Mytilus edulis: one gene and its partner. The protein of the gene in region 1 purifies or fractionates together with the protein of each later gene. This does not show direct contact. Links are inferred from orthologs where the notes say so. Each region holds a gene or a part of one and is shown on either strand. Other genes may lie near its edges. The genes, in order: dual specificity mitogen-activated protein kinase kinase 5-like and hsp90 co-chaperone Cdc37-like.

Region 1 (11,952 bases):
TCTCCGATTCCGATTGACCAACTCATCTCTCTTCTGCTTTTTTTGTTTTGTTTTTGTTGCGAAAACGACATGGATGCACGTGCTGTCGTGCCTCCGGGTAGCTACGCCCCTGGTTGTCGTTTGTTTATATGTTACATATTTGTTTTCCGTTCATTTTATTACATAAATAAGGCCATTAGTTTTCTCGTTTGAATTGTTTTATATTGTCTTCATGGGGCCTATTATAGCTGACTATGCGGTATGGGATTTGCTCATTGTTGAAGGCGGTACGGTGACCTATAGTTGTTAATGTCTGTGTCATTTTGGTCTTTTGTGGATAGTTGTCTCATTGGCAATCATACCACATCTTCTTTTTTTTTATAAGATCCTTCTTACAGACCAAACATTACAAAATGATTTTTAACAAATACAATTTCCTGTCTTTAATCCCCCCTCCCCTAAAATATAATGCATCCTAACTAAAAACCACTGACAATATGGGTGACTGTTACAAATCTATGACCTCTTTAGAAGCTAAAAAAATTAATGGATGGACAGGAAGAGATCGTTTATCATCCTAATTGCACATCATTGTAAGCCCTAAGTATAATATCAGTTAAGTCACTGAACTATATTTAACTCTATATAGATTATAAAAACATCCGGGTGAGTATGTTTACTATCTACATTTTCTTAATATCAGAATAATAACTGAAGTTAAAGATCAACATAATTTGACTCTTTGATTTGATTCTATCTTTGTATAAGCAGTGAGTTCTTCTAAATAAATATTAAGCAATTTAGAATATCAGATGTACCTACGGTTTGGAACATAGACTTCATCTCTTCATCACTTCTTACTGTAATTCTGTCCCCATCTTCATCTTCATCTGAAAAAAAATAATACATTTTATTGCATAATTCAGTTGTTACTCCCTGTATATACAATGTAATTACACAACTTTCACATGCTTTTTCTGTTCACTAGTACCTATTTAGGTGAACTATATAGCTACTAACAAGAAAGCATTGTTAAACCAATGCAGTTAATGTACACCTTAAAGTCCACAAATTTATTACCTAATTTTAATAACAATTAGAAAAAATATGTTGAAATGAAGACACAACACAATACATATAATTTCTGAGTTTAACACAATTTTACATTAAAATTGAAAATATTGTTGTAATGTTATGAAATTCTTTTATTTCTCATAACTCATACCCAATTAATATATTGTTCATCAATAACTGGCCACTAAAAATTTAAGGGATTCACAGTTGTATTGCTCCCTGATTTAAACATGTACATTTTGATCTCTGATAGAGAGCATTCTCATTGGCAATCTTACCACTTCTTCTTAATTTTCTAAAAATTTCAAAATCATAGATGCTAATATTAATCATAACATAGGCAGAAAAAAATAAACACACTTAAATATTTACATACATTCAAATGCTGTTATTGTGGCTTGAGGTAGCACTCTTGATATCACTTCCTGTCAAATATAATAAGATAATGTTGTACATATTATATATTATTGTTTGATGTATATAAATATAATATCCCCTATAGAACCTAACAAAAAGTTAAAACAAAAAAGCCAAATATTGCTTACATTTCAGGGGCAGATACAGGATTAGACGTTAGGGTGGGCGCAGAATAAAAAATGTTTTTGAGGTTAAAATAATCAAAGTTATTGAAATATTCTTCTAGAGTGGGTGCAATGTAGATAGATATCTTGCCAAGCGAAGTGTGGCGAGAAACATTTGTGGTAAAATGAGCGAGAAATTAAAGTTTCAATCTAAAACCTCATAATTTTAATGACAATCTACATTAACCATAATGTGAAGAGTTGACAGATAGACAGGCGGACCGACAGACGCAAAGTGAGACAAAGCAAATGACGATTTTTCATCTGACCAATGTAAGATTTTGAAAACGAAAATTATTACTAGTACAATTTATTTGTCAATTCATAATACGTGTTTTTATTTTTGTTCTATTTTCGGAGGTCGTGCTAGACTTTTCAATTCTGTAAAAAAAAATTGGCCGCTAACCACTAAAATCAAAATGAGATCCTTAAAAAATTGTGCTTATTTTCGTTTATGCATGCTTCGGCAAATTTTATATGTTGCAAGTGAGAATCATATATTGTCACAGAGATATTAAATAATGAGTCAAATTAACAAACTAAACTCTCGCTTGAACCATAATCTTTATCTTTCCTTAAGAAAGAATCTAACTTAGACTGCTTTCCTGGTCGTGCCATGATGAAATAACCCAAATAGCGGGTAGGGCACTTCCACCTTCTTCGTGGGAAAGTGATGTAGGGATGTTTTTGAACTTCGATTATCAAAGAAATTGTTTATTAAAACTGCAACTACAATGTCACAATTGTTTTATTCTTACTGCTGAAAGCCTATGATATTTGTCATCAAACGCAGTACCGCTTTTGACACCTTCCTTTGAAGTGTAACATGTTTATAGAACTTAGACAATAGGTCAGTTGATTAGTAATCACGTTAAATAATTCTGTTAAATTACTGTTTTATATAGTAATACTTGTTTGAATGTTAAAACAGATTGAATGCGACGACATTAGGCTAGCTTTTGTCATCTCTTCGGATACTTATTACGTGCGGACAACCCATGCTTTGCAAATTTTAGGGGGGGGGGGGGGGGGGCGCACGCCCGCCACCAGAACTATATCCGCCCCGCCCAAATCCGCCCCTGCATTTAATCAAAGAGCTGATAGCTCTGAAGTGGAAGAAGGTGAATAAAAGGTAACTTGAATTACCATAAAAGCAGCCCCACTTACCCAGGCTGCTTTGTTCCATTATCGTTAAAATGTATTTTTTTTCTTCAAACAAGAAAAGGTCATAAGTACATGGATTTCCCATCCGTACAATCATTTTCTATGTTCAGTTGACTATGAAAATTAGGTAAAATCTTTAATTTGGCAGTAATTAAGAAGATCATATCAAGAGGAACACATGTGTACTAAGTTTCAAGTTGATTGGATTTCAACTTCATCAAAAACTACCTCGACCATAAACTTTATAACCAGAAGCAGGACGGACGGACAGACTAGAAAACATATTGCCCATAAATGGAGCATAAAAATAGTAAGACTTGTTACATACCTGCCAACTTTTGAAAGTTCCCATATGGGTTTTTACTGCACAACAACAAAATTAAAGGTTACAATTTTTAGCGATGTATTTTGCAAGATCTGGATTGTCTAGAAAAAGTGTCATATTTGTATGAACTTACATGACTTACATGCCTTTTCCTTAAGTCTGTTTGCATAATTCTAGTTATATATTAAATCGGTAGAAAAATTATACATGAAGCTAGCAGAAGCTAGACTATTAGCCTAGTTGCAAATATTGTATGTTGCCTTCTAACTAAACAAATTTAATATATAAACTTCAATTTAATCCTTGAAAGGAGGTCTAAATTAATAAAATAATTTATAAATTTTAATTTTTTTATTTGTCCAAAATCATTTAAATTCATTTAATTAACATCCTTTTATGATTATTTGATTAAAATATTAATCATTTATAGTCTTTTTACCATTTACATTTTTAAAAGCAAAATAACTGAAAACAGGATAAAACAAAGGGAAGTAACAAAAAAGTATTTCAATATTCCCAATACACATCGTTTTGATAACACAACGGCAGTTAGCCGGAGGTAAACATCGTTGATTACCAGTATGTTTGACACCCAAGCTGTCAAGTGAAGCCATATAATTATACATCTTCTTTGATGTTCAGGTAAAATTTAACACAGGTGTCAATTACACCCGTACAGTAGTAAGAAATGATCAAATATGGCGTCTGAAAAATTTCATACACAGGAGTTTTTTCTCCTAAACGGGAGGTTCACATGTATGTTACGAAGGGCATCTAATTCACATGACAAAGGAAACCCATGAATAAAGATAACACTTTATATATCTTTTTTATTTATATAAAAATAAAATCTTCTTGTCTGCAGGATTGCAAATTCGTAACTTCAAGGGTGAACTTGTAAACAGGGCGAGTTGTACCGATACCAAATTCACGCATGCGTAATACAAATATCTACAGTTAAAACATCCTGTTACAAGTAAACAAATTACGTTCATGTGGATGAGATGAAATCTAATAATTTACATAAATAAAAGGGTCATATTTACGATAGTGATTGTTTTACAATCATAATTTACAAATTAAATGATTCAGATGCCCAATCATGTGTAAAAATCGGTGTCAGGAATCTAAGTTGTCTTGAAATTGTAATACACGAAATGAATGCGGCATACGGAGACTCAAAGCCAATGGTCGGCCCCTTAAGTCTTCAGAAGACTTGACGTCTTCTTCCACTAAAAAATGTATGCAATCTTTTTTTTATTTATTAAAGACTCAAAATCAAAAATCAGATTAAAACTGTAATTACCTTGTATATTAGACATTAGGAAAGAGTTCCCTTCTTTTTTGCTTTTTAACTTGATGTCTTGAATTCAGATATAACCCCCTTGTCAATAGTTGTTCACGACAGAGACATATTTACCCCCCCTCTTTTTTATGGGGAAAAGTTTGGTTGATTAAGTAGGGAAAAACTGAAGTACAACGTATGACTGGAGACTGGAGTGGGCCCCTTTATTGGCAATCAGTCCCCCTTCCCTGGGCCCCTTTATAAAAGTCTTGATCTGTGTCACTGCACGAGAGGTTTGATTACCAACTTCCAGCAGAGTTTAGGCCAGGACACATTAAGAAATAAAATAGATTTTTAAGACCTCAAAAACTCAGAATTTATTAGGTGTAATATTTGGAAAGGGAGGTCATGTCAGTTTCTCTGCAATTATATGTATTACTGGTTAAAATATTTCTCAGTTGTTGTCATTATCAAACTATTGACATATATCAAAATATTTATTGTTGGATGTCATTATAGTTAAATTAGCACACCTTAAATGTCCTTGTACAATATTTGCATCCTTCACTTGCTTCAGCTTGTGATATAAAATATTTTTTTCTCTATATCATTGTATATACACATGTATACCGTTATTCTCATCAACAAATAAAAAGATATATATTTATATATAGATTCTCAAAATTCAAAGTGTTATTTGGTAAATCAGTGTGATATTTACAAAGAAAAGCATTGTAAACAATGGTATAACTACAGTTTGAGAGCCTAATTTATCATCATGTTGTTTTTTGTAAGATTGATTTTCTCACTAATGCCTGATTAAATGTGATCTGATCAGGTTGCACCATCCAATCCATATCTTGTTCTTGTTCTGTACGAATTCGAACAGTAAATGTTGGCTGCAAAGCCATTTTCTCTGTTTACTTCCCAAAAAATTTCACTTTTAAAGGGAGATAAGCAACAAGTTGAAACGTTATAAATTGTGACCTACAGTTTCGAGAGAGCCGATGTTATCCTTTTGTTTTATTTCGTGTTTTTTTTCACGTTTAAAATAACGCTTCTAAATTAATAAAAATATTTAAAAAGAGCAATATCACATAGTACAAGGTTGAAAATTATTTTTAATCAGAATAAAATGTTTAAATCCAGACTGTTCACAAGTCTGTCCGCGAAAAGACATTACATTTGCTAATTTTATGTATTATTATTAATAATTATAAAATCTTGCATTTAAAGGCTCAATGTACCTCCTATATGTGTTGTTTCTAAACATGTCATGTCTGTCATTTGTCATGAAAAAATGTTTTTGCCAACCCCCACCCCTGAATCTAATTATAAAACATACTGAGAACTCCGATTTTGTTATACTCTTATATATATCTGGAACTATTATACTAGTCCCAGCTGATATGGAGAATAGATTGTGTTTCACCATGATTTTTATTTTGAACTTTCCATTCGGTCAAGTGGTAGATTTATTCAGTGACATACATATGGCTGCATTGTATAACATAGTTGAATAATAAATGACATAATTTTGTGGTACGCAACTCCTAAGCAGAGACTAGATTTTACAAATATTATAGCAATGCATTTCTAATCATGGAGAGTCCATGGTATATGTATATACATATATAAATGTTAACAAATCTATATGGATATGTGTGTATATGTATATGTAAATTATTGTGAAATTTTTGTAATAATTCTTGATTTGAAACCAATAAAAAAAATCATTTTGTCTTATGAATTTTCAGCGTTGTATGTTATCATTCTGAAGTAACTGATACGTAGGGTGTCAACAAGAGGAGTAGAAACAACATTCACGACAGATGAGCATTAGAGTTCATGCTGCCAGGCTGTTTCCGAGCGGTCTATAATGTTGCTTTACTGAAATCAGTAGGAAGTACAGAGATCAATATCACTAGTAAACTGTTACGAAGAAGACACGATAAGATTCTCTCATAGTCCTCGTTGATACCAGTCTTACTATACAAATCCTCTGGGATAAATTCCACGTATGTTTTTGTGTAGATCATACAGTTTTCGTGGTCCAAATAGTTATAAGATCAATAGAAGGCATCGGTCCTTAACTTTATTCTTTTTGAGTGTTCAAAATGGAGAACTATTTTTATATATTGTTAATAAAATACATGTGCAATATATATATATATATATATATATCCACAACTTATCGGCAAAAAGGATTAAATAATAAACTGTTAAAAGTAAGAGAGAGTTCTGTCATGACTATGCGGTTATTCAAGACTTAAATGTAGTTTCTAAAGAAGCCGGTACTAATAATGTAAGAGGTTGTAGGTATATAAATTTTTAGAGGCGAGTATACTTTAAAGATAATCATGCAATACCACAATTAAGATTTAGAGAGGATTACGCAATTCGCGTACAACCCCATCGCATATATATTCCTTCAAGCCATGAGTGGGACGCCTGCGTTGGTTTATTGTCATATTCATTGATACAGTCATTTAGGATCATTTAGATGTCTATAAAACCACATTGTCTCCCGGTTGGTTTAATGCTACCTTAAAATATCATAAGTCTTCCCATATATTACTGGCAGGCTTAAAGGGTGACTGAGTCACCGCTTATAATAACTTGATTGGCCGGACCATGTTAAATCAAATCAGAAATCAAATCAACATTCTGTTTTTCTTATTTAGAGAATATAAATCAATAAATAAAAATAATAAATCATACAATATACAGACATACATCACATGCAACCTAATATATATACTGATTAGATTAATAACAAACATTGAAAACTATTTTTTTTTTTCAGAATTAATACACAGAGGTTAACAGGTCCATAACCAGTACAAAGAGGGACAACTCAATTTCTTAACTCTAACTTAATTTTTTTCCCCTGTCTTTTTTATATTTGAAATACTCATATTACTCATATTTGAAAGTATATTTAAAGTAATTATATGTGCGGACTTTTGCCAGCTGTTTTCAATTTCTCGATCTTAAAGTCATTACAACAGTTTATCTTTTCTTTATGACCTGACTGGCCTTAAAAAGACTACAAATGCATATATCATGCGTACATGCATATACATAATATAAGTATGCAATGTAATACAGCAGTGTTATATGTGTACTAAGCCTTAAAGGTCTCTCGGGGGAGAGGAATGACAATGATCCATCATAATTCAGTTATATAAGCATATGTATAATATAAATAAAATAGCTATAGTACAGGAATCAATGTATAATAATGGTGAAATCAGTAAAAACAATAATAGTATAAGATTACTTGAACTGTTCATTTCTTCGAATTCATTTTTTACGGCAAAAGAGATTTGGCGATTGATTGCTGGGCTTGAGAGAGAAACAGAAGAAGGTCAAACGAATCACCTTACATATCGACAGCAGAGAACATAAGTTATCCATTAATTGAAATTGGTTTTGAACTAGCTTTAGTAATTTTGAGTATTTTCCCTTTTAATTATTTTGTGTGTGTGATTAACGACATTAATGCCAATCTGATGAGTAAAGCCTTTTTCCAACAAAATTTCATAGTTTGTTCATATTGTGCTGTGTCACCACTGTACCAGTTTTAGAGAGGGTTAAGCCTTCACAAACCTGTTATTCCTTTTGTCCCTGTCCCAAGTCAGGAGCCTGTCATTTGCTGTTGTTAATTTCTGTCTTTCTTATTTGTTTGCCGTGTGCCAATTGTTTTATGATAATATAGGGCGTTGTGTTTTTCGTTTGAAGTATTTCAAATTTTGTTATCTCGAGGCTCACGGTAGTTTACCATACAGCATTGGTTTTACTCATTGTAAAGACTGTACAGTTCCCTATATAAAAAAGAAGATGTGGTATGATTGCTCATGGGACATATCCCTACAAGAGACCAATTGGCACAGAAAATAACAACTATAGGTCACAGTACGTCTTTTACCTATAGTTGTTTACACTCTCGTCTCTGGTCCCTAGTGGGTAGCTGTCTCATTGGAATTATACCACATTTCTTTATTTTTTATGTTAACATATATGAATCATTAATTCGGCAAAAAGTTGATACTATTATACCATTTAGTGAGCTGACAAATAACTGCTTGCATAAAGTAGATAAGGTGTAATGGTTCATATATATAGTTAACAGAAATTTCCAAAAATATTGTACACATAGAAAAATAGCTCTGATACTTAAACAATAGGTACATCAATTGGCCATCTCTATCAACATTTTAACTAAGTTATCTAATTACTGAAAATGGAAACTTTTGAAAGATCAAAATTATTTCAGATGTGTCAATTTTTTTTTAACTAAGATATCAAAATCCCCCCCCCCCTTCTTTTGACATTAATACTGAAATGTGCCAATGATTGAAACAACAACCCCACCAAAGAGTAGAGAATAATACATGTAAATTTAATTCCATAATATTAGTTGATAATGAAGATTTTATATTGACAGACTTTTATTTTCTTTATTTTCTAAATAAATAAAAGAAAGTAGGGGTACTGGATGTATCAGATGCTCATCCCTGTCACAAAAGGTCCGAAGTGCTCTTCCCAGTTAAAATATGGTCGATTTTAAACCGGAAAATGAATGCATATTAAACATTGAACAATCAATCAGTTATTAGTAACCTTAAATTGTCATCATAAATAAAGCTGTATGTTTGCATTGACAGTCTGTTCCGGATTTTTTTAGGTGCAATTTTACAAATTTGGCACCAAACGCCTATAATTGCTCATACTGAATTCTTACGAAAGCAAATAATACCTCAAGTAGTAATGTCTATTTTTTAGAACTATAGCACAGAATAAAATATCTTTATTCACCAAATAAAGGCACAAGGAGAGAGCAAACATAGAGTTTCATCTGGCTTACAACAGTGACGTCCAACTCTGAATAACTTACTACTTTATGTATACAGTAATAAAAGTGTTTCGAAACTTGATAATTTCGCATATTTCACGAATACAATAATACTATTGCAAAACTTGTTTTCGGGTACTTAATTAAAAAAATATTCTGAATTCAGATTTTTCCGTTACCTTATAAATAGTGTTTTAAACTTTTGAAAAATATAATTGATTGGAAGCGTGCCGTCGAAAAACTAAATAAAAATGTTTGCGCTTTGCACGTAAAAAAGATTTGGGACTCATAAAAAATACCCCCTGAAGTTAAATGGTTGCTCCCATAGATTTACAGTTAATTTGAAACCGTGCCTGTCAAACATTGAACCGTTTTGATTGGCTTACTTAGGTGCACTTGATTTCGCGCCTTTTCTAAGTCCGTGCGATTCTAAACATCTTCGTCGCAGTAAGATCAGACTTGTTTGAGTAAGTAAAACAAATACAGAAATTGTAAAATTATTGTCAAACTTAAATAACTTCCATGGTTCTACAAAATTCTTTTTGTGTTAATATATCCACGTTTGCCAAAAAAATATAATGTAAAAGATACAACTTGATGAAAAGATTCAATGACAAAAGGGGTATATACAAATTGGAAATGGTGCAAATGAAATATTTTGAATTTAGGTAATTCTTTGATAAGTGCAAATAACCAGTTGTTAAAATTGTAATCTTTTAACTATTTGCTATATAATTGATCATAATTTTCTTTGTTTATGCAACATTGAAAAATGACCCGTGTCGCTGTATTAAATATTGTTCGCCGGACAAAAAATTCCCAGAAAAAGTTGTCCACGTATAATTGTATTTTAAGAAACTTTCGTCTTTCAAGGACAATATATATTGTATAATGTTTTTTTCTCAACGGAATGTTAAGTAGTTCTTTTGACGATATTTAAGGTTCATCATAACAAACGGACAAATATGGCTGTATTTACATGTCAAAAACTACTCCGAGTACAGACTTGCATATGAAGTTGGAAATGTTTTAATGCCTAGCGTCCACTAGATATATTAAAAGTTTAATGCATTTTGTGTTTCAGAAAGATAAAATCTCTTTTTGATTTTGTTGGGCTTTTTTTTCTTCATGCATAAGGTGTGAAAATTAACTAAGTTGTGGCAAGGATTTGAATAGTTAGATCTTACTATACAAATCCTTGGTCTTGGTACAACTTTGAGATGAGCCCCTCAGGTAAAAACCGGTTTGTATTGTTTTGATTGTCCTTAATTGACTTGGACAAGAGGTATCTTCATAACTATAGGTGACTAAAGAGTTTATCCGAGTCAGTGAGTGGACAGTATCAAAGTAATTCAGGTGTTTGTTTATTTTTACACCTTCTGCAGAAAGGAAAAAAATGCCCATCAAAAACCAAGAAAGATTTTCTTGGATCTTGTCAAGTGATAGTTGTAATAAAGCTTTATATTTAGGACTATCAACATACTATCAATGGTTAGTAAAAGGCTAGAAATTTTAGTTTGTGCACTCTTGTTAAAAAAAGATATGGCAGTGGCTATTTGACCGGCACCGGCTAAATAGCAAATTTGCTATTTGACCAGCACTGGCAAAATAGCAAATTGATATTTTGCCGGCACTGAATAAAACTGTTCATTGATGTGATTAGTAGAGATTACAAAAGCTTAATAATAATTTTAAATCATTTTATCAAGCATTAAAAATACAGTGCAAATAAAAAATAAAATATTGAAGATGTTCATTATATCAAATAATTTATAACTTTATAATAATGCATCTTAACATGATGATGTTCTAAACACATATTTGTTATCCTCAGCTTATTCCCATCTGACACTTGCCGTTCGTAGTTGTATGAAGAAAGGACAGCTTTGCCTAAATGTGGCCTGCTTAAAAAAAAAAAAAAAAACAATTTTAGAAAAACAGTTAGTTTTGATACATTGTTATAATCATGTTGCCTGATCTTTAAAGCTGTATGTGTCATTCTTGTTTTCATTGTCTGTTATTTTTTCTTAGGGAGCTACCATTTGAATTTTATGGGGGGGGGGGCTAGGATGAAAAATGTTGTCCTGCATTTTTTATTTAGCTATAATCTCTGTCCTGCCTTTTTATTTTTCACTCTGTTCAGTCCTGCCTTTTTTTTTTAGTTTATCCTGACTTTTTTTTACCTAAATGATTCTAAATTGTCGTCCTGACTTTTTTTTTTGCAAGTGTCTCATCCTGCCTTTTTTTTTTACTCAAAACTCCTGTCCTGCCTATTCTTTTCAAATTTCATCCCAGCCCCCCCATAAAAATTAAATGGTAGCTCCCTTATATGGTTTACTTTGCCTCCCTGCTTTTATTCTAATAATATCCATATTATCATCGTCCTGAACATGCATGAAATATTTGCCACTGGACATTAAGTTATCAACAATCGATCAACTCATAGTATCATCTATACTCTCACGGTTTCAAATCTTTTATCCTATATATATTTTACTTATATGGTTGCCAACTGATTACCTTAAAATCATACATTTACCAGAGCGGGATGCACTCTTGTGATCTTTTCCTCCATGTACATAGCATAATTTCAATTACCTTATACTAATTCTCAATTGATGCTTCTGTTTGGTGCTCGACATTTCATGGTTTTGATGGTATGTGCATCCCTTTTCCACAGCTGAAC
Region 2 (11,442 bases), on another chromosome or scaffold:
TAATTTGACATGGATTTTACATATATCCATATTGGTCAATCAATTTTTTCCAAATTAAGTTTAGAGGGGAGTCAGCGAACAGACTATGTGAATTAAGTTTTTTTTATCCTGCATTGAACTTTTGATGTCGTCCCTTAACTTTTATGCCCACCTATCAGTCGGAAGGGGAGGTGTTTAGCTTTGGTCATACTTGTGTATTAATACATGTAGAAAATGTACAAGACACTGGTTTTGGAGGAAACACTTATATTCGTTCAGTGCTTCAAACTGTAATATTTTGAATCTAGAGAAAGCATTCAAATTGCCATTAAAAGTAATTAAACTTGCTTTATTGCCCATGTCTGGTAAATTGTTTGTATGGAGGAAATGGATGAAAAGACATCAGTTTTGACTAGTAAAATCATTTACAGAAGCTATGTTTATTCCATTCATTTAAATCTAGACATCTACAAATGTTATTCAAATATGATCAAATATGTATGACTTAGCAGGGGAAAACCTTGCAGGAGAAAGATAGATTACTGGTATGATTTTTCCAATTGTTACACATGATGTTCAGATTTTGGGTCTTTGACCAAACAAACAAACTACATGCTCCTATACATGATAAAAGACGAAACAGACAATGGCCTGGGAATACAAATGACAGTCGTATATGTATTGTTCATATTTAAAATAAGAAATGTAGTTATGTAGACCCGTAATATGAAAATCTTCCACATACTTTCAATAAATTAAAATCACTTCAATGAAGTTCCCAGGAGTAACGGCACTGTAGTTGAGGAGTCCCCACCGTCAATTTGTGATTTGATGTTCGCAAATGCCGTTTTACCGTCGACGCGTAGGGGAGCCAGTAAAACGGAAATTTGCAACCGTCAAATCAAAATTGATTGTGGCTACTCTTCAACCACAGTAATGTAAAATAAAACGTCAGAGCTTGGAATAAATGGGGAATGTGTCCATGGGACACTGATGATGCCCCCTTTTGTATAAACATAAAACATTATAAAGCATAACATTTGGTCGAAGCAACTAAAGGTAGAGAACAGAAACGAAAAATTCAGAAACGACCTAAAAAAATACTCAGGCCGAGCGTCGTCACTACTTCATTATGATCTCTTATATACAGTGAAAGACTAAAAACTAACAATTTCCCAGATTTTATAGTGCATACGTGCATGTGTAAAGACACATGTTACCATCCTTGTTTTTTGATAAAATTGATTCAAATTTGACTGATATACATAGACGTTTGTTTGATAAGAAGTTGTAAAATGTCCGGTGGCAAATAGATCAGGCATGTTCAGGACGACACAATACAATAGTTGTGTCTAATGCATCCATAAAAAAATACTATAACAAACATTCCGTCAGTTGTAAAAATGATTGATAAAATAACACATATTTCGAATGATGTAAACGTGTGCATATTTTGGGACAAATCTGCTAGCAGAACATTTGAAAAGACCAAGTTCAACATTCTGTCATTCGTAAAAATTATGCAATAAAAATATCTGAGAATATATATATGCATCCTCTGTAAGTAAAACATATGGCGCATTATGTAAGTTCCAACCATTTTAAACGAAATTGACTAAAAGTGTCACAAAAATGTGACGTTTTTCACTCAATCCTGCGTTTCTATAAATTGTATTTATACTTTATACACGGAAACGGCGTGCATCAGACTTACAAATTCAATGAAAGAGACAGCGTTCTTGGAGCAGAATAAACATCACTTCTATCTTGTGAAAGGAGATCGATTTCTATTGAAATGAGCTTCCCATACATTTTTTTAAGGTTTTACGTCGGGAGACAAGAGAAAGGAGACGGGAGAAAGGAGAAATGTATCCCCTGTCCGACCCCTCATAAATCTAGAACTGTAAAAGTGACGACATCAAAATTCAAATTTATTCTGTGTTTTTGTGGTAAAATGCATTGTGCATAAGTTTTATATCAGTTTGTTGATGCTAACTAACGTTAGAGAACGGAAACCAATTTTATAAAAACAGACGTACACTATGGTACGTACTTTCGGATGGACGTACAAACAGACAAGGATAAAACTTAATACCCCCTTTACTACGGCGGGGGCATCAAAATGTACAATTATGAAATAAAATAAAATTCCGCGAAACTTCATGAATGGTTTTTGCACAAAGACGTTATGGCTAAACGTGACGTCATATAAATGAAAACTAACAGACTGAAGGTCATAACGTTACTTGTACGATTCAAATTTTGATAAAATTACATCAAAACGGCGATTTTGAGGTAGGTGTTGTTTTATTTTTGATAATATTGTAGTTATCAAACATTGGTCAATCATAGCAATTCAAAATGGCGGGTCCCTCCTTTTTTCAATTATTTGAATTCGAGTTATCTCCCTGTGTACGCAAACCTTACCTTAATCAATTCCAGAAAACTTGTTGAATAATGATCTTCAAGCACGAAAACTGATAAAGAAAAAAATGTAATAACGGAGTACGAAAATATGGTGACAAATAAGGGAAACGAACTTATTGTGTAATTGGTTTTAAACACAGGTTTCGTTCCGCAAAATTATTTGCGCAAAAGACATTTCAAGGTCATAAATAATTGATTTGTCTATTTTTAGAAACGTAAACTGGAAGTTTCATTTCACAACAGAAAGTGTAATCAATTCTGTTAGTGATTAATGCATTTTATTTCATAATAAAATTATATTTTAATTATTTTTCAGGGATCATCATGCATTTGTTAAGGTCGGCGGGAATAAAAAAAAGCAGAAAAGTCAATTTTATTTTTATTCAGGAAATCGGCAAAATTGGGTCAGCGGATCCGTAAACCAACAAATTAAAAAATCCTGGCCTTCTATCTATATTAATGTTTATATCACTTATATGACAATCAGAGGTTTTCGAAAGTCAACTCGATAGTTAATTAGATGTTTAGAATAAAATACACACAAAACAAAGCTACATTTTATTGGGCTCATGCCCTGTAAATTGTTCTTTTTAGTCTTTTTATTATTTGGATAAATGTTTTACATGTACATTGTTATAAATCAAATATGCCAATTTGAGTCAAATCGGTGAACATGCATTTGACAGCTAGTGCCCCTTTTAAAGTTTTAAATTAACAATGAATATTCATCAAACATGATATTTAGGTTATATTAATCCATTTGACCCCCTCTCCCATTTTATAGTTTTTAAGATGTTAGTAAAATGCATGTGATGTATTTCTAATAATAATAATAATCACATAGTCTTTGGATCATTAATTAATAATTTTATGTACATACCCCACATCTCTTTCATAAATTTATAAAATATGCAACAAGTGAAGTATTTCTCTTTTGAACATTTAACATGCACTCTCTTAGCACAGATATATACCAGTCTGTCTAGCTAGCCTATGTTAATTTTAACATGTTTAATACTTAAAGATTTTAACAATTTTTTATGCTGCTGATGCATACAACATGATGAACATGTACAAAAGCATGCCAAAGTCTTGATTCTGTGACTTTTCAGACAGATGTGACAATAACTTAAACCTACTCTGTCAATCCTTTATTTAAATCTTCCTTTTCTTTCTTCGATTGTTCCATTCTATCAACACGTGCCTGGTGGCGCCATCTGAAGAGACTTGGAGTGTCAATGTTTGGATGAGTGTCGTCTTCATCATCAGAGATCTGAAATAATTCAAATTAACAGGTCAGGAATAACCACTAATTGGTGGATTATACCTCAATTGACGTATAATCCACCAATTGAGGTATATTGGTATAGACCAATTGATGTATAATGCAAGTTTTTTGTAATTAAATGCTAGTGTGAGATAGGAGCATGATTTTGCAACTTGCAACCTATTTCATGACCCTTATTGAGTCCTCCGAAAGTTTCAGTTTTGTCAAAGCCTGCTGCATTTCTTGAGAATGCATGTGTACAACAATTCTTTTGTTGAAACATTTGTACTATTGACCATGATTGACTTTTAATAATGAAAGTCAAGTATTAACAAAGAGCTCCATTCACCTGTGGAGTTGTACTCATGATCACATGACTGCAGACAGTAATGATGTCCATTGACAGGTGATTACAGGTAAATTTGCCAATCAAAAATTGACAAGATAACAATAGAAGAAACTTCAAATACAATTATTGATTAAATGCAATATGTTATGTCACTATACTAAACTAGAAATGTTTGACAAGTTTTCATACCATAATATGGTTTTAAGAAAACAATGCTCCATTTTGGTGGAATAATTTGTTTTGAAAAACAAAGAATTATACACCAATTGGTCTATACCATTATATGTCAATTGGTGGATTATACGTCAATTGAGGTATAATCCACCAGTTGGTGGTTATTCCTGACCTGATTAACTCACAACGTGAAACCAACATCTCATTTTTTAATGTTCTTTCTTACATCAGAAAGGCAGTATATATAATAAAACATACATAATTAAACATACTCAATCATCATGATCATGGATGTTTGGATTTCTAGAACTTTCCACTGTTTGTTTTAAGAAGTCAGAACAGTACAGTTACAAAGCATTACATATACTAGTAGGTGTAGAGTGCTTTAGCATGTAGAATATAACCAAATTAACAAAAAAATATTGTTAAAATAATTTTATTGAATTTTGCTTTGTGTCTCTTTCGGTCGTTTCTGTTTTGGCCATGCCCGGCATACTTTTGAGCCACTAAAAAGATGAAATTTATGTCTGTTTGTTTATTTGAGATATAATTTCTAATTTTTCAAGTATATCATATAAATATTTACAATGTTACCTCAATGTGATCCCACTTGCTATAGTTAATTGTTGACATTTTGGTAATCTGGCCTTCACTTTGTCATTTTTTTCAGCGTAAATTAAAACCGGAAGCTTTTGTTGAGTATGGCGATTCTATTAGCAAATATTATCGGACTGGATATAAGTAAATTGCGGATTTATTTCAATAAATGGTTTCTTTATTTATTAAAGCCCCTGAGTGTAGTAAAGGCTCCTTTAAGCTAGGACGAGATAGGAAGATTGTTAGCCTCGGGAGACTGTCAAGCGGTACTCCGACATTTAAAAAATAACAAGTTACTTTTTGGAAAGTTTTATAAAAAAGTTATGTGAACTCTAATGTTACTATTTATGATAACGTTTCTACTTCAATTTTTACTGTAATCAAAAGTATACAAGTAAATATGAACCAACTTATTTATAAGAGGGTGGTAAAGGGGGGCCCTCAACACGGAAACACGTGAAATAAAAATGGCAAAAACGTTGCACGGAAAATAAAAATCGGAAAAAACGAAGCACGAGAAATAAAATAGTAAATATTAATGACTCATTAATGTAAAAAGTAAAATAATTTATTAATCAGCCGTTCTTGGAGATCATCTAGCCATTATATATGATGGACATGATGACCCTACAGTCACATTTTAGCGTCCGCTAGTCGCAACTGATTTGAAAGAAAAATATTATTCATAATAGATCATAATAATTAATTATAGCAATTTTAAATATTCTGCATGGGAACACATAATTTAAATTCCAGACTGACCGGGGCTTTGAATTTAATCCCGGCCGTACTCTTAATCAATTGCAGGACAAGCACGAGAAATTAAGAGTACCGACACGAAACACGGAAAATAAATAAAGGAGAACACGAGGCACGCACGTCGAGCCAAACACGAGAAAACGAGAAATAAAACTTTAAAACACGAAAACACGTGAATTAAAAAGGCGGAAAACGTTGCACGAAAATAACCCTTTACCACTCTCTTATAGCAAGAGTGCACACCCTGAAATGTCTCGCCTTCTTTACTAACCATTGGTATTATGTTGATAGTCGTAAATAAAAAGCTTTACTACAAAAGAGGGACGAAAGATACCAGAGGGGCAGTCAAACTCATAGCCATGATTGAAAATAAACTCACAACGCCATGGCTAAAAAATAATAGAATAAACAGACAAACATAAAAATAACGGTACAGAAGACACAACATAGAAAAATAAAGACTAAGCAACACGAACCCCACCAATAACTGGGGGTGATATTGTTGCTCCGGCCCCCGGGAATGGTAAGCAGATCCTGCTCCTATGGAAACGTATATTAGTCACCAGTTGATCAGTTGTCAACACAACTTGACGACAAAAATAAGAGGGAAAGTTGCATTGTTACTGAACTTGTACACTTAAACAAGTTTACTTGTTTAATTAATAATTAAACTTGTAGACTTACTACAAGTTGACTTGTTGAGTTCTTCTGAACAAGACCACAGACCAAAAAGTGTACATAATATTATTGTGTCCTAGTAAACTTTGTCGTTTGTACACTTGCTAAATTGAACGTTTCTTTCTTGCTTTAGAAAAGTATACTTTCCGAGTTAATTGCGGTCACTTGTCGTGTTGTTTCTCGCCTTTCTTACATAGTATAAGTTCATTTGTATTGTTTTTATGAATAAGTCAACTTCACACAAGTGAACTTGTTAAGCAAATATCGTTGGTCTACAAGTGCAAAGTAAACATAATTTTCATATTGCGCGCGAAATTATAGCGAGAAGATCTCTGAGCAAGAATGGATGCAAAAATGGAGACCGACTGTAACAGTGATGAGGTAATTAAATAACTACAGTTTTTAACAGGCCTGTGACTAATAAAGTTACAAAAAGAAGCATTCAATACTTATAATTACATTTTTTAGCTATGATCATGAAAACACGAATTTTATAAATTTTGTATATTATTCAACTGTGTACTTTATTGTGGGACCACGTGCTATCATGAATGCAAAGTTTTATTGAGTGATGCAATTGTTTACGGAATAACAAGTGATGTGCCGTTAGCCAATCAAAATAAAGTATTATAATGAAACATACATCTAATGTAATTATTAAATAATGATTAGCAGTTTAGGAGAAGTTGTTCATACAAAATGAGTATCCCAATTATATGGCAATGGTAAAAATCCATGTTTTTGAAATAAAAACTAAAAAAAATAACCTTGAACAAAAACAAAATAGGAGGTGCATGATAGCATTATATCATAAAAAATCTTGAGAAAGTTTCATTAAATTATAATAAGTGATTTAGGAGGAGTTGGTGATACAACATGGATACCCCAAGGTTTTGTCAATTGAAAAGTCCATGTTTTTTAAATGGAAATCCAAAAAATGATTTTAAACAAAAACAAAATAGGTGCACAATTGCATTATATCATAAAAAAATCTGGGAAAGTTTCATTAAATTATAATCCGTGGTTTAGAAGGATACAACATGGATGCCCCTTTTTCATGGCAATAGCTAAGTCCCATGTTTTTTCAAATAGAAACTCCAAAAATGATTTTCACAAAAACAAAATAGGAGGTGCACAATGGCATTTCGTTCTGACAAGTGGTTAAGGAGGAGTAGGGGATATAAAATGAAACATAGTGTGCAGGACGGACAGAGGGAAGGACGGACTTTCCCATCACTACATACCTCCACTTTAAAAAGCGGGGTATAAAAATTAAAATGGGGAATGTGTTAACAATTTGCAAGGCTTCAGCTTAACAATTACATGATCATGCAGTTCTTTGTATTTGTATTCATATCTAGTATATTAATGTTTTAATATTGGGGTTCATGACAAATATATGCCAAGCAAGTGTAACAGAAACACATTTTCTTGCTTCTTCAGATATATGCATACATTTATAAAGCCTGTTTAAAAAAATGGGTGAAAAAAAATCTTGCATTAGTTTTGTGTAATCAACTCTATAGTTTTCAACCTAGGTCTGTAAAACTTTACAGGAAGGTAAGCTAACACACATGTTTAAGTTCTGAACAGGCTATTTTGGAATTGTTTGAAGAGATATATCGGGTTTTTTTTTCAAATTTGGAAGCATAGTTATTTTCCAGTAAAAAATATAAACAGTGTATTTTTTTGTAATAATCTCCTGATCACACAGTTTTCAACTACGATCCTAATTCAAAAATCACTAAACTAACCTGGGCATTTTAGACTGACCAATTTTTATTTTTTTCTTCCATTAAAAGCTTACTAACAACTAAAAATTCTATCGATTATCTTTGTTAAAATAAAAAATCTGACAATCAGACACAATTTTTTTACCTTAGTTTTAGGTATATCAGCTACCAATTTTATGCCAAACTGTTAATTAATGTAATATTATAATTTCTTGTCTTTTAGCATGATGATAATTCACAAAGGTGTACAGTGTGTGTGGATCGACCAAAAACTGCAGTTATAATACCATGTGGTTATACATTTTGTATGGCATGTGCTACACAGATTGAGGCATTAGACCAGCCTTGTCCGGTATGCAGAACAGCCATTCAAGATGTAAATCAGTGTTTTCCTTAAAAGAGGATTATAGACATAATGAACATGTATGATGATATGAGATTTGGTTTTTGTATTTTTTTCTTGGTAGTATAAATGATGGCTGTGAAGAAGTTCTGTCATTTTTGGATAACTTTTGTTCAGACAGTTTGCACCAATTCATAGTTAAAGGTCATGAAAAGGTTGACAGTAGCTCTTCCTTCATTATGTAAATGATTAAAAATGCTTCATCATTTCGTGGAGTCTTTATTTATTTAAGTTTCTGGCCTAATATATTTATCTTTGCAGTAGATGTAGATTTGAGTTACAGCCAAAAAAATTGTAATTATAATGTAGGTGATGATGGCTTGAAATATTGGTATCATAGAAACTGACTCCTGCAAATGTATTAAAAAACTTGGGTGTTTTACTAGTAAGCCAAAAATAATATTGAAATATCAGGCAAACAAGAAATCTTTTAATTACAAACAAAAAGGAAATAATTTTGTCCTCACAAAATGTCTGAGATATGTAACTTGGCAGCAATGTCAAAAGTTCTCTTTTTCAATATAAGCATTATGTTGTCGATTGGAAAAGTGAGCTTTAATTGATTTAAAAAGCAGGGTAAGTTCATTAAAACCGCAGAACTGTTTTACAGATAGCATTTGTTTCCCAGAGATGGATTTTGATTATGTATTGTGGTTTAATCTTAATTGTATCTTTTAGATATATGGTTCTGTATTTTTTGTAAATGAATCTGACAATTAATGATCAGGTTTTATAAGATAACAATTAACAATTTCCTTTTTTAGCTCACCTTTCCTAAAAGGAAATGCGAGCTTTTCTCATCACTTGGCGTCCGTCGTCGTCGCCGTCGTCTGTCGTCGTTAACAATTTTTCAAACATCTTCTCCTCTGAAATTACTGAATGGATTTGGATGAAACTTAGCATGAATGTTCCTTAGATTATCCTGCACAAAGTTTGTGCTTTGATTTTTGATCCGTCAAAAAACATGGCCACCGTTACTTAAAATAGAACATAGGGGTCAAATGCAGTTTTTGGCTTATATCTCAAAAACGAAAGCATTTAGAGCAAATCTGACATGGGGGGGGGGGGGTAAAATGTTCATTAGGTCAAGATCTATCAGCCCTGAAATTTTCAGATAAATCAAACAACCCATTGTTGGGTTGCTGCCACTTAATTGGTAATTTTAAGGAAATTTTGCAGTTTTTGGTCATTATCTTGAATATTATTATAGATAAAGATAAATTGTAAACAGCAAAAATGATCAGCAAAGTAAGATCTACAAATAAGTCAATTTGACCAAAATTGTCAATTGACCCCTTAAGGAGTTATTGCCCTTTAAAGTCTTTTTTTCACAATTTGTTCATCATGTTGACTTACTTTTAAAAATCTTCTCCTTTGAAACTGCTGTATCAATTTCAGCCAAACTTAGGCTAAATGAGTTTCAGAGTATCTAGAATAAATTTTATATTTTATTTTCTTATATGTCAAATAACATAGCTCCTATGGCTAAAATGGAACATAGGAGAAAATATATTTTTTTTTGCTTTTGAAGAAAATAGGATAATTCAAAGAACATTTAAGTAAATTGAAAAGCCAAAATAATCATTGATGGGAGATTTAACCAAAAAAATTAAGGTGAGCGATTCAGGCTCTTGAGAGCCTCTTGTTTATATATACTATAGCATTTTTTTTGGTTTGTTATGCTAAAGATTTGGAAAACATAAGGAACTATTTTGACATATGTAAACTAGATAACACAAAACAGTTTTAAGTTCTTATTTTCCCTATTTTTGCAAGGACAAATGGTACAGAAATTATCAAGCTCAATTTATTTATCTCAAACTAGAAATGGCCATTAATGTGCAATTTAAGCTATATTTCTGTTTAATTTTATTGTATGATTGTAAAAAATCTCCGCTAAAACCTCAAGATTGATTTGTATTAATGTTCTTTAGAATGTTTTAAAATATTTTCTGCGGTATTCTGCACAGAACTTATTTGGTGAAAAAACAAGGATGTCATTGTAAAAAAGATCATAATTATGTGTAATGGTAAATTGTAGTTTTTAGCAATCAAATTAAAATCTATGAGATATATTGGAGAAAAAATGACCAATGACTCAACAAAAAGCTGCCCTTTAATTTTTAATAATAATTTGAGACCTTTCTGGGAGTTTTGGCTGTTTATTTATTACTGATATCTATTTATATGATATCAACAGTATAACAGCATACGTAATTAATTAATTGACATATGTTCAGTTAAAATTTAAATTTGTATGATTATTCCTGAAGTATTTCTTTTATAACATTTTATGACTTATAAGTTATATTTTAATTGCAATCATAACTTGCATTGTTATTTATTTAAGTTCTCATTTCATACAAATTGTATTTTTTATTTTATTGGTCTCTGGTCTGATGATCAAACTTTACTTTTTAATAAAATGTTATGATGTTTTGTTCTTTATTTTAATTCATTATTGCTTTAATATATTTATTAATTGATCATAATCAACCTTTGATCAACTATTACCATTCACAAATGATTGATAACAATAGGTTGACTTTCAAATTTTAAGATTCAATATGAACCTACCTATTCTGTGCTTTGAGTCTACAGTTTTATCGTTTCTGCTTATCAATGGTTAGCTCCTTACAAAGTCTAGGGTATACAATGTCACTTGATCCCTCCAGAGTAGTTTTAAATACCTTTAAACTAAGTTTGGGTGATATAGATGTTTCATTATGTCAGTCTGTGGTCTGTCCAACATACAATCCACTACTGCTCATAAGATGCTTGTTTGTAGTAGTACAAGTGTACTAAAGCAATGTGGGGTCACTGAATGGAGATGTGCATATTGTTAGAAATTTTCTGTTTCTTCAAGTTGATAAAAATTTCATGGTAATGAATTTAATATAAATAAGATGTGATGCCAATGAGACAAACCTCCATCCAAGTCACAATGTATTAAAGTAAACCGTTATTGGTGATAGTATGGCCTTCAACACATTGTCTTGGCTTGCAACAAAGAGCATGCTACAAAATGTATAAAGGGCCCCCAAATGACCAGTGTAAAGTAATCCAAACAGGAAAA

Evidence for each region.
Region 2: the proteins of dual specificity mitogen-activated protein kinase kinase 5-like (region 1) and hsp90 co-chaperone Cdc37-like purify together in Homo sapiens (affinity purification with mass spectrometry; 3 studies listed by BioGRID and IntAct, with this or other methods). This does not show direct contact. The link is inferred for Mytilus edulis from reciprocal best matches to the Homo sapiens genes MAP2K5 and CDC37.

What each region holds. Positions count from the first base shown.
Region 1 is NC_092347.1:75,249,702-75,261,653, forward strand, and holds the start of dual specificity mitogen-activated protein kinase kinase 5-like, read right to left. Parts: upstream 5,370-11,952; 5' UTR 5,320-5,369; coding exon 5,218-5,319; intron 1,479-5,217; coding exon 1,430-1,478; intron 870-1,429; coding exon 802-869; intron 1-801. UniProt on the Homo sapiens protein: Acts as a scaffold for the formation of a ternary MAP3K2/MAP3K3-MAP3K5-MAPK7 signaling complex.
Region 2 is NC_092353.1:79,346,317-79,357,758, forward strand, and holds the start of hsp90 co-chaperone Cdc37-like, read right to left. Parts: upstream 4,926-11,442; 5' UTR 4,830-4,925; coding exon 4,791-4,829; intron 3,680-4,790; coding exon 3,546-3,679; intron 1-3,545. UniProt on the Homo sapiens protein: Co-chaperone that binds to numerous kinases and promotes their interaction with the Hsp90 complex, resulting in stabilization and promotion of their activity. Inhibits HSP90AA1 ATPase activity.